Linked DNA regions of Mus musculus. The protein of the gene in region 1 purifies or fractionates together with the protein of each later gene. This does not show direct contact. Links are inferred from orthologs where the notes say so. Each region holds a gene or a part of one and is shown on either strand. Other genes may lie near its edges. The genes, in order: Vamp5 and Stx12.

Evidence for each region.
Region 2: the proteins of Vamp5 (region 1) and Stx12 purify together in Homo sapiens (affinity purification with mass spectrometry; 3 studies listed by BioGRID and IntAct, with this or other methods). This does not show direct contact. The link is inferred for Mus musculus from reciprocal best matches to the Homo sapiens genes VAMP5 and STX12.

Annotation. Positions count from the first base shown.
Region 1 is NC_000072.6:72,367,350-72,370,585, reverse strand, and holds the end of Vamp5 (vesicle-associated membrane protein 5), read left to right. Parts: intron 1-254; coding exon 255-392; intron 393-1,115; coding exon 1,116-1,283; 3' UTR 1,284-2,537; downstream 2,538-3,236. UniProt on the Homo sapiens protein: May participate in trafficking events that are associated with myogenesis, such as myoblast fusion and/or GLUT4 trafficking.
Region 2 is NC_000070.6:132,881,528-132,886,076, reverse strand, and holds the start of Stx12 (syntaxin-12), read left to right. Parts: upstream 1-1,618; 5' UTR 1,619-1,711; coding exon 1,712-1,829; intron 1,830-4,549. UniProt on the Homo sapiens protein: SNARE promoting fusion of transport vesicles with target membranes. Together with SNARE STX6, promotes movement of vesicles from endosomes to the cell membrane, and may therefore function in the endocytic recycling pathway.

The DNA.
Region 1 (3,236 bases):
GGAAGCTCCCAGTTTGGGGTAACATGGAAGAAGCTGAGATGCTGAAATCCAGGGTGGACGGATAAGGGTAGGAACCTGGAAGCAAACTGCTCAGAAGGCAGCCCTTTAACCTGAATATCTCATGTCGTTACACACCAAGGAGGCTATTACTCATCCACCACACACAGACATTGTAGGGGATTTTTAGGTCTTTTGTGCCAGAGGAAGGCTGGGTGGGGAACCCTCGCAGCCTTGACCTTGGGCTTGGTGCTCAGGCAGGGAAAGAACTGAAGCAATGCCAGCAGCAGGCGGACGAAGTGACGGAAATCATGCTCAACAATTTCGACAAGGTCCTGGAGCGTCACGGCAAGCTGGCGGAGTTGGAGCAGCGTTCAGACCAGCTCCTGGACATGGTGTGTGACCGATGGGAGCAGGGGGAGGAGAGACAGGAGAAGTTTGACCCTTAGAGGGAGCGCTTAGGCTTTGCTGGGGAGGTGAGGCCCTAGGTGGGCTCCTAGGCTTGCCTGCTTATCAGTGTGCAACTTCCGGGTTTCCTACAAGTCGGTTTCACCAAGATGCCTTTGGGTTGGGGCTGTAGCTCAGCTGATAGAGTGCTTACTTAGCATGCACAGCCCTGGGCTCACACCCCACTGTGGCATGGATCATGAGTGGTAGTATACCTAGGATCCCGGCACTCAGGAGACAGGCCAGAGGCTCAGAAGCTCATTCTCCGGTGCACAGTAAGTCTAAGCTGAGATACATGAGACCCTGTCTTACAAACAATAACACCCAAACAGAAATAAACAAATAAGTCTTTGGAGATGTGTGCATCCCTAGTGGTCACGGCCTGGTATTGCTAAGTGGGTGTGAGCTAGCAGGATGGAGAGTCAAGTGTTATAGCAGTGACTGAGATCAAGAGCCAGGCTAGAATGGTTACAGGGAACAGTGAGTGGAGGAGAGGCAGCAGACAGGATGTGGAGGGTGTAGGAATAGTTCATCCTAGCACGGGAAGGCATGGGAATGGAGAGCTGGCTTTAAGGCCCTGTGGGAACCATTAACACTCTCTCTCTCCTCTCTCTCTCTCCTCCCCCCACCCTCTTCCCTCACTCCCTCCCCATATCTCTTGGTATCTGCAGAGTTCGGCCTTCAGCAAGACAACCAAGACTTTAGCCCAGCAGAAGCGCTGGGAAAATATCCGGTGCCGGGTCTACTTGGGGCTAGCAGTGGCTGTTGGCCTGCTCATCATCCTGATTGTGTTGCTGGTCGTCTTTCTTCCGAGTGGTGGGGACAGTAGTAAACCATAGGCCTAGGATGCAGGTGATGCCTTAGGGACTGGGGACTGACCCAGCCCGGCCTGAAGGGAAGGCTGAATGACTGCACTGGCCTGTTTTGGTCTCCAGAGAATCCTGGTGTTTGCTTCCATCTAGGACACCCAAATGACTGCTGAAGGGCATCCAGGATTATGTGCACCTCTGCATCTCCCATCATGCCATGGACTGGCCCTTGAGAGTGGACTGCTGCACTGGCCCTATTAGGCCACACCACTGGAGCTCAGTAAAAGCTGCTCTTTGGTTAAAAATGCTCTCTCTCTCTCTCTCTCTCTCTCTCTCTCTCTCTCTCACTCACACACACACCACAGACACAAAAGTATATCATATACATACACACACCCTACAGACACCAGACATAGGCATTACACATATACACCCCCCCCACACACACACAGATACACATACACACATATACACTACAGACACAGACCCTGTAGCACAAACATACTATATGACCCCCCCCCAAATTAATGTAATCTCTTAAAAAAAAAAGAAAGAAAAGAAAAGAAAACCTATCACCTCATCCAAAGGACTATATTTCAGGAGACAGCCCCTTCCTCTCCTTTTCCAACTTGATCCTGTCCTACACAGATGGACCTTTAAGGAATGTGGGCCAAGGGCACAGTAGTCCACAAACCAGACCTTTGCACCCATTCCCATGAAAATGAAATCCATCATCTTTGATATCTTGAACATTCTCAGAGGACCAATGGAACTCCAGATAGAAGGATAAAAAGGAAAGGGCTTGCTGGGAGTATAACTCAGTTGACAGAAATGCCTGCCCTGTATGAACAAAGTCCTGGGGTTGATGGTGGTGCATACATCTATAGTTTCAGCACTCAGGAAGTAGAGACAGGAGGAATACAAATTCAAGATCATCCTTGGCTACAGTTAGTTAGGAGCTATTCTGGGCTATATGAGAGACCCTGTCTTAAAAGGAAAAAAAATGGTTGGAGAGCTGGTCCAGAGATTAAGAGCACTGGCTATTCTTCTAGAGGATCCAGGTTCAGTTCCCAGCACCCACATGGCAGCTCACAGCTGTCTTTAACTCTAGTTCCAAAGGATCTGACACCCTCACACAGACACACATGCAGATAAAACATCAACAATCATAAAATAAAAATAAATTCAACAAACAAACAAAAAAAAAAACAAACATGAAGTTAAAAAAAAAAAAAAAAAGGTGTACTGCTCTACAGAGGATCCAAGTCTGCAAGTTCAGTTTCCATCTCTCAAGTCAGGCACTTCATAACTACTGTAAATCCAGCTTCAGGGAGATCATCCTCTGTGGGCACCTGCACTTACTTGTGCACACGCACACACACACACACACACACACACACGCACACACCATTTTATAAAATAAAACATTTAGAAACAACAAAAAACATGACAGAGAGATAATCCCACAAAGTGTTTGCCTTTCGAGCACAAGGCCCGGAGTTACTCCCCAGAACCCATCTTTAAATGCCAGGTGTGTGGTCCAATGTGGTAGCATTAACTTTTGATTCAAGCACTGGCAAAGTAGGGACAGGCAGATCTCTGTTAGATTGAGGCTAACCTGGTCTGCACAATGACCCTTTCTCAAAAACACATAAACAAAAGCCCCTAATGTGGTGGCCTTCTTGTATTTCCAGAATTGGGAAGGTAGAGAGAGGCAGAGTCCTGGGGATCACTAGCCACCAGCCTGGGTGAGCTCTAGTCCAATAAGAGATGTCTCAAAAACAGAAAGTTAGCTGGAAATAAAGACTGTGGAGTTGGGGGTGGGCTGGTATGCTGGTGCATGCCTTGAATCCCAGCACTTTGGAGGCAGAAGCAGGTGGATTTCTCTGAGTTTGAGGCTAGTCTCAGTTACATAGTGAGAAATTGTCTCAGAAAAGAAAAGAAAAGAGAAGAGAAGAGAAGAGAAGAAGAAAGAAAAGGAAA
Region 2 (4,549 bases), on another chromosome or scaffold:
CAGAACGTATCGAAGAGCAGTCAGTGCTCTTAACCAGCACCAACAGCATCAATTTTACCACAGAGAACTTCCAACTCAGCAGCCTCTTTCTCCTGAGTTCTTCAAATGATTGGTAAGGCTTCGGTGAGAATGGTTTGTGGTGCTGGTTCATGGTGTAGCTTATACCATATGACCAGTGGCCAAACCCAAGATCTGCCCTAAAGCAGGTATTTGGGGGTTTGCAGTGGCAGTCTGCTTCCACCTGAGTGTCCCTGATCTCTCTGATGGGAGAATATACCTCTTCATCAATTACCTGGTACTTGAGTTTTTCATCCTTGAAAAGGCATAGTTTGGGGCTGGAGAAATGACTCTGCAGTTAAGAACACTGGCTGCTCTTCCAGAGGACACAGGTTCAATTCCCAGCATTCACATGGCAGCTCACAGCTCTCTGTAACTCCAGGTCCAGGGGCTCTGTCACCCTCACAGGTACAGGCAAAAGACCAATGAGCATAAAAATAAATAATTAAAAGAGAAAGCAAAGGAGCAGTTTATGCTGTCTATCTGGAGTTTTACCATAAACATGGCTTATATGTCCACTCCATGGCCCAGCCCTCTAGTGAATATATGTCCTTGTTTCTGGTCTGTCTTGAGATACTGGTGGGTGAATTGCTGGCCGAAGAATGTGAATATCATATTCGAGCCCTGGGGGTCAAGGATGAATTTTTTTCTTAGAATTTTCCCCATAATCTTTTGAATCAGAAACCCTCTTCTTCCCTTTCACAGGATGGGAGTCAGGCAGTCATCTGTTACAGGAGGAGAGGCTCTGATGTAGTAGGAGAGGTTGGAGAAGGGTGCCCAGTTTTCGTAGGTGTGGTGCACATTGTAAGTTGGTGGGCTGTCAATCAAATGCCATCTGGCTGGCAACATATCTCATGACTGAATTCCGCAGGAAGGGAATGGTTTTTATTTGTTTGGAGTGTGAGTGGGTTTTCCGAGACAGGGTTTCTCTATGTAACCTTGGCTGTCCTGGAACTCACCCTGTATACCAGCCTGACCTCAAAGGAAGGAAATGTTAATCAACAATGTCCCAGAATCCCTTGAAGTGGGTAAGCACGGGGCACACCGTATTGGCGGATGGTTTCAGTAGTAACTTTATTCTTGCTAGAAATTTAGGTGTTGAACAGTTTTCACCATCGAATCCTGTCGGGTACAACTGCACGTGTACTGGTCCCATTCCATGCTCATGCATTCACCTCGATTTTGACATGGGTTGGAAAAGCAAGAACTTGCTGGGTGCCTGAACAACAGTGCCGCGCGGAGCAGCAGGATGCGGGAGCGGCAGGATGCGGGAGCAGCAGGATGCGGATGAGCGTGTTGGCGGCCGGAAGGTCGTGGAATGCGGGGCGCGCCGTCTGTAGACGACAGGCTGAAGAAGTCCGGTCCTGTACTGGCTTCACAGCTGGAGGAGTCGGGTCTTGCGAGAACGCTCACCGCCAGCAGTTCGAAAACTCTCAAGAGACGACCCACCGCCAATTCCAGCCGCACACGCGCACTGCAGGATGGGGCGGAGCGCGCGCATGCGCACCGCGATGGGCGGGGGGTCAGTGCGCACGCAGTCGCGGTCCCTTCCCCGCCCTTTCTCTTCCCGGTTTTCCTCTCAGCTGCTGGGCCCGGTCAGTGGCAGCTTCCGGTAGGAGCGCCGCGAAGCGCGACCCGGTCTCTGCTCACTGTCATGTCCTACGGTCCCTTAGACATGTATCGGAACCCCGGGCCGTCGGGGCCTCAGCCCCGGGACTTCAACAGCATCATCCAGACATGCAGTGGCAACATCCAGCGGATCAGCCAAGCCAGTGAGCGAGGGGACCCAGCCGGGAGCTGGGGGCGGCCTGAGGGACAGACGGTGGTGAAGCTGCCAAGTCGGGGAGCCCGGTCTGGGTCGCAGCTCAGGCCACACCTTGAGGCCGTCGCGAGCCTCCACTCTGGGCGCGGCGAGCTGCCTTTCCCTGGGTCGGCCAGGCTCGGGCCCTTTAGGTCCACACCCCTGTCTTAGGCGGTTAGAGTTCACGGTGTTGGGGGTCAACAGAGCCGACAGCCCCGATGGTGGGAGGGAGTGTGTGTCATCTCCAGGACTGTGAGCAGCAGTCTTGACTTGGCGCAGTGGTCAGCCGAGTTTTTCCTGTCGTCGCCGTCCCCCTCTCCCCACCCACCTTGTTTTCCTCAGTTCCGATCAGGGGGTGCTTACTTGGTTGCGACTTTAGGTTCACATTCAGCTCAGCGGTTGGGTCCTCAGACATCAGCAACTTTCAATTAAGGGAAGTGGAGAATGCGTGCGTTCGAGTGACTTAATACACTGTGTTTCCTGTAATTAACCTGGACGTCAGTCAGTGCCTGGCATTTAAGGGACGGGAGGACTGCTGCTTTATGGCACAGAATGCACCGGGAACATTTTAGGTTAGGTTGTCTTTGTAGCGAACGTTTTTCCCATTTCAAGCATGAAGATGTCCTCTTCTGCCTCCGTTGAGAGCTACTCTTGGCCACAATTACACACCAAGTAAGAGATGGCAGGGTTGGGCCAAGTCAGTTTGTAACTGCTTACCTTAAAACTCCCTTCTGTAGCTAGAGTCAAGTACAGGCTGTTTTTGAGTTTCAGAATCATCCCAGAGCCCTGTAAACAGAACAACAGAAGCAATTTTACTTTAAAAATGGTGACAACCATCTGTGTTGTTTATTATTCTGTTTTTTTTTTTTTTTTTTTTTTTTGTGAGCTTAGCTATACTGTTAATAAGTAGAGTCAGTTCTGAATTGCAGTTATGTCCTAAGCTTTAAAGCATAAGCTACCACTGTGCTTTTATTTTCTTTTTGAGACAGTTTTTTTGTAGCTCTGACTATCCTGGAACTCACTCTGTGTACCAGGCTGGCTTCAAAATTAGAGATCCACCTGCCTCTGCCTCCCAAGTGCTGGGATTAACAATGTACGCCACCACACCCAGCTTGTCACTTTGCTTTTATATCTAAATGTATACTGTAGGATTTGAGAGGTAGAAAGTTTCAGGCAGGAAGGGTTAGGCCTGGGTGTATGGAGGTAGTACGAATACTCAGCTTGTTAACCCAGATATGAAAAACACAATAATAATTGATGACTAGACAGTATGGTACTTTGTGTCCCAGTTTCCTTTTGTTAAGGAGCTATAATACAGGATAAATCAGAAAATTCTTTTCAAGGGGCTGGCAAGATGGTTCAGGTAAAGTGCTTGCTGTGCAGGCCTGACCATCTGATTTGAGCCCCAGAACCCAGATGAACGTGGAAGGAGCAAATTAACTCCACAGAGCTGTACTCTGACCTCCACACTCAGCCACACTCGTTCCCTGGCACACACAATGTGTCTGTTTACATTAGTTCTATGTATGTTCCACATATCATACACACAAAAATAATAAAGAAAATTTTGTGCCAGGTGTTGGGGGCGGGGTCATGCCTTCAATTCCAGTACTTGAGAGGCAGAGGCAGGTAGATCTCAGAGTTTGAGAGGCTAGCCAGTTTACAGAGTTTCAGGACAGCCAGGGGCTACACAGAGAAACCTTGTTTTGAACCACCAGAAAGAAGAAAAGAAAGAGAGGAAAGAAAGAAAGAGAATTTGTGGGTTTTTTTTTTTTTTCTCATTGAGACTAACCTAATTTAAATGACTGTATGTGGAATATTTCATATTTGAGTATTAAGTTGTATAGTAAGCATAGGAACTGATACAGATTCTTTTAACTGCAAATCTGTGTTTACTTAAATCAAAATTAGAGTTGAAACTGGCCATAGTCGTACACGATAGCATTTGAGAGGCTGAGGCAGGAGGATTATCATGATTTAGAAGCAAATCTAGACTGCCTAGTGTGTTCAAGGTGATCCAGGGCCACATTGTGAGTCTGTTTTCAAAGGGAAAAAGGGAGAAAGGGAAGGAGGAACAGAGAAGGAGTTTAAAACCAGAGCCTGGGTGTGATGAGTCAGGTCTGTAACCCTAGCTCTCAGGAGGCCAAGGCAAGACAGTCTCCAGGTTCAAAGCCAGCCTGAGCTGTGAGTCTTAAAGCAAAACAACAACAAAAAAGGTGTCGGTGTGGTCTAGGAGCAGTTTCTTTGGTGATAGCTACTGATTTAGCCGTTGATTAGGCATTGGGGTCAAGGGGTTCCTTAGAGTCAATAGTTAATAATGTTACTAGCTACTGTTTAAGTACATCGTGTGCCAGGCCGTATGAAAAGTACTTTACATGTAATATTCTAATCTGTAACAATCCTGTGGAGTAATTACAAACATTCCCAGTCTATGAGCTAGGAAACAGACTGAGAAAGGCTAAAGGGTTGCCTAGCTGAGTGTGTGGGTTTTTTTCTCGCGATAAGATGAACATCTTCCCTGTTAGATTGTTAGCTTGCTTGAGGTAGGAAATACGATTCATTCATCCTTATTTTTCTGTCATTTATCTTAGTCCCAAGCATATGATGAGTTCTTCCGTTCAGCGTGCGACAAGCATTCTTTGAGCACTGATGTTCACTGGTGATGAGCAGAGAACACACTGCTGCCTGGCA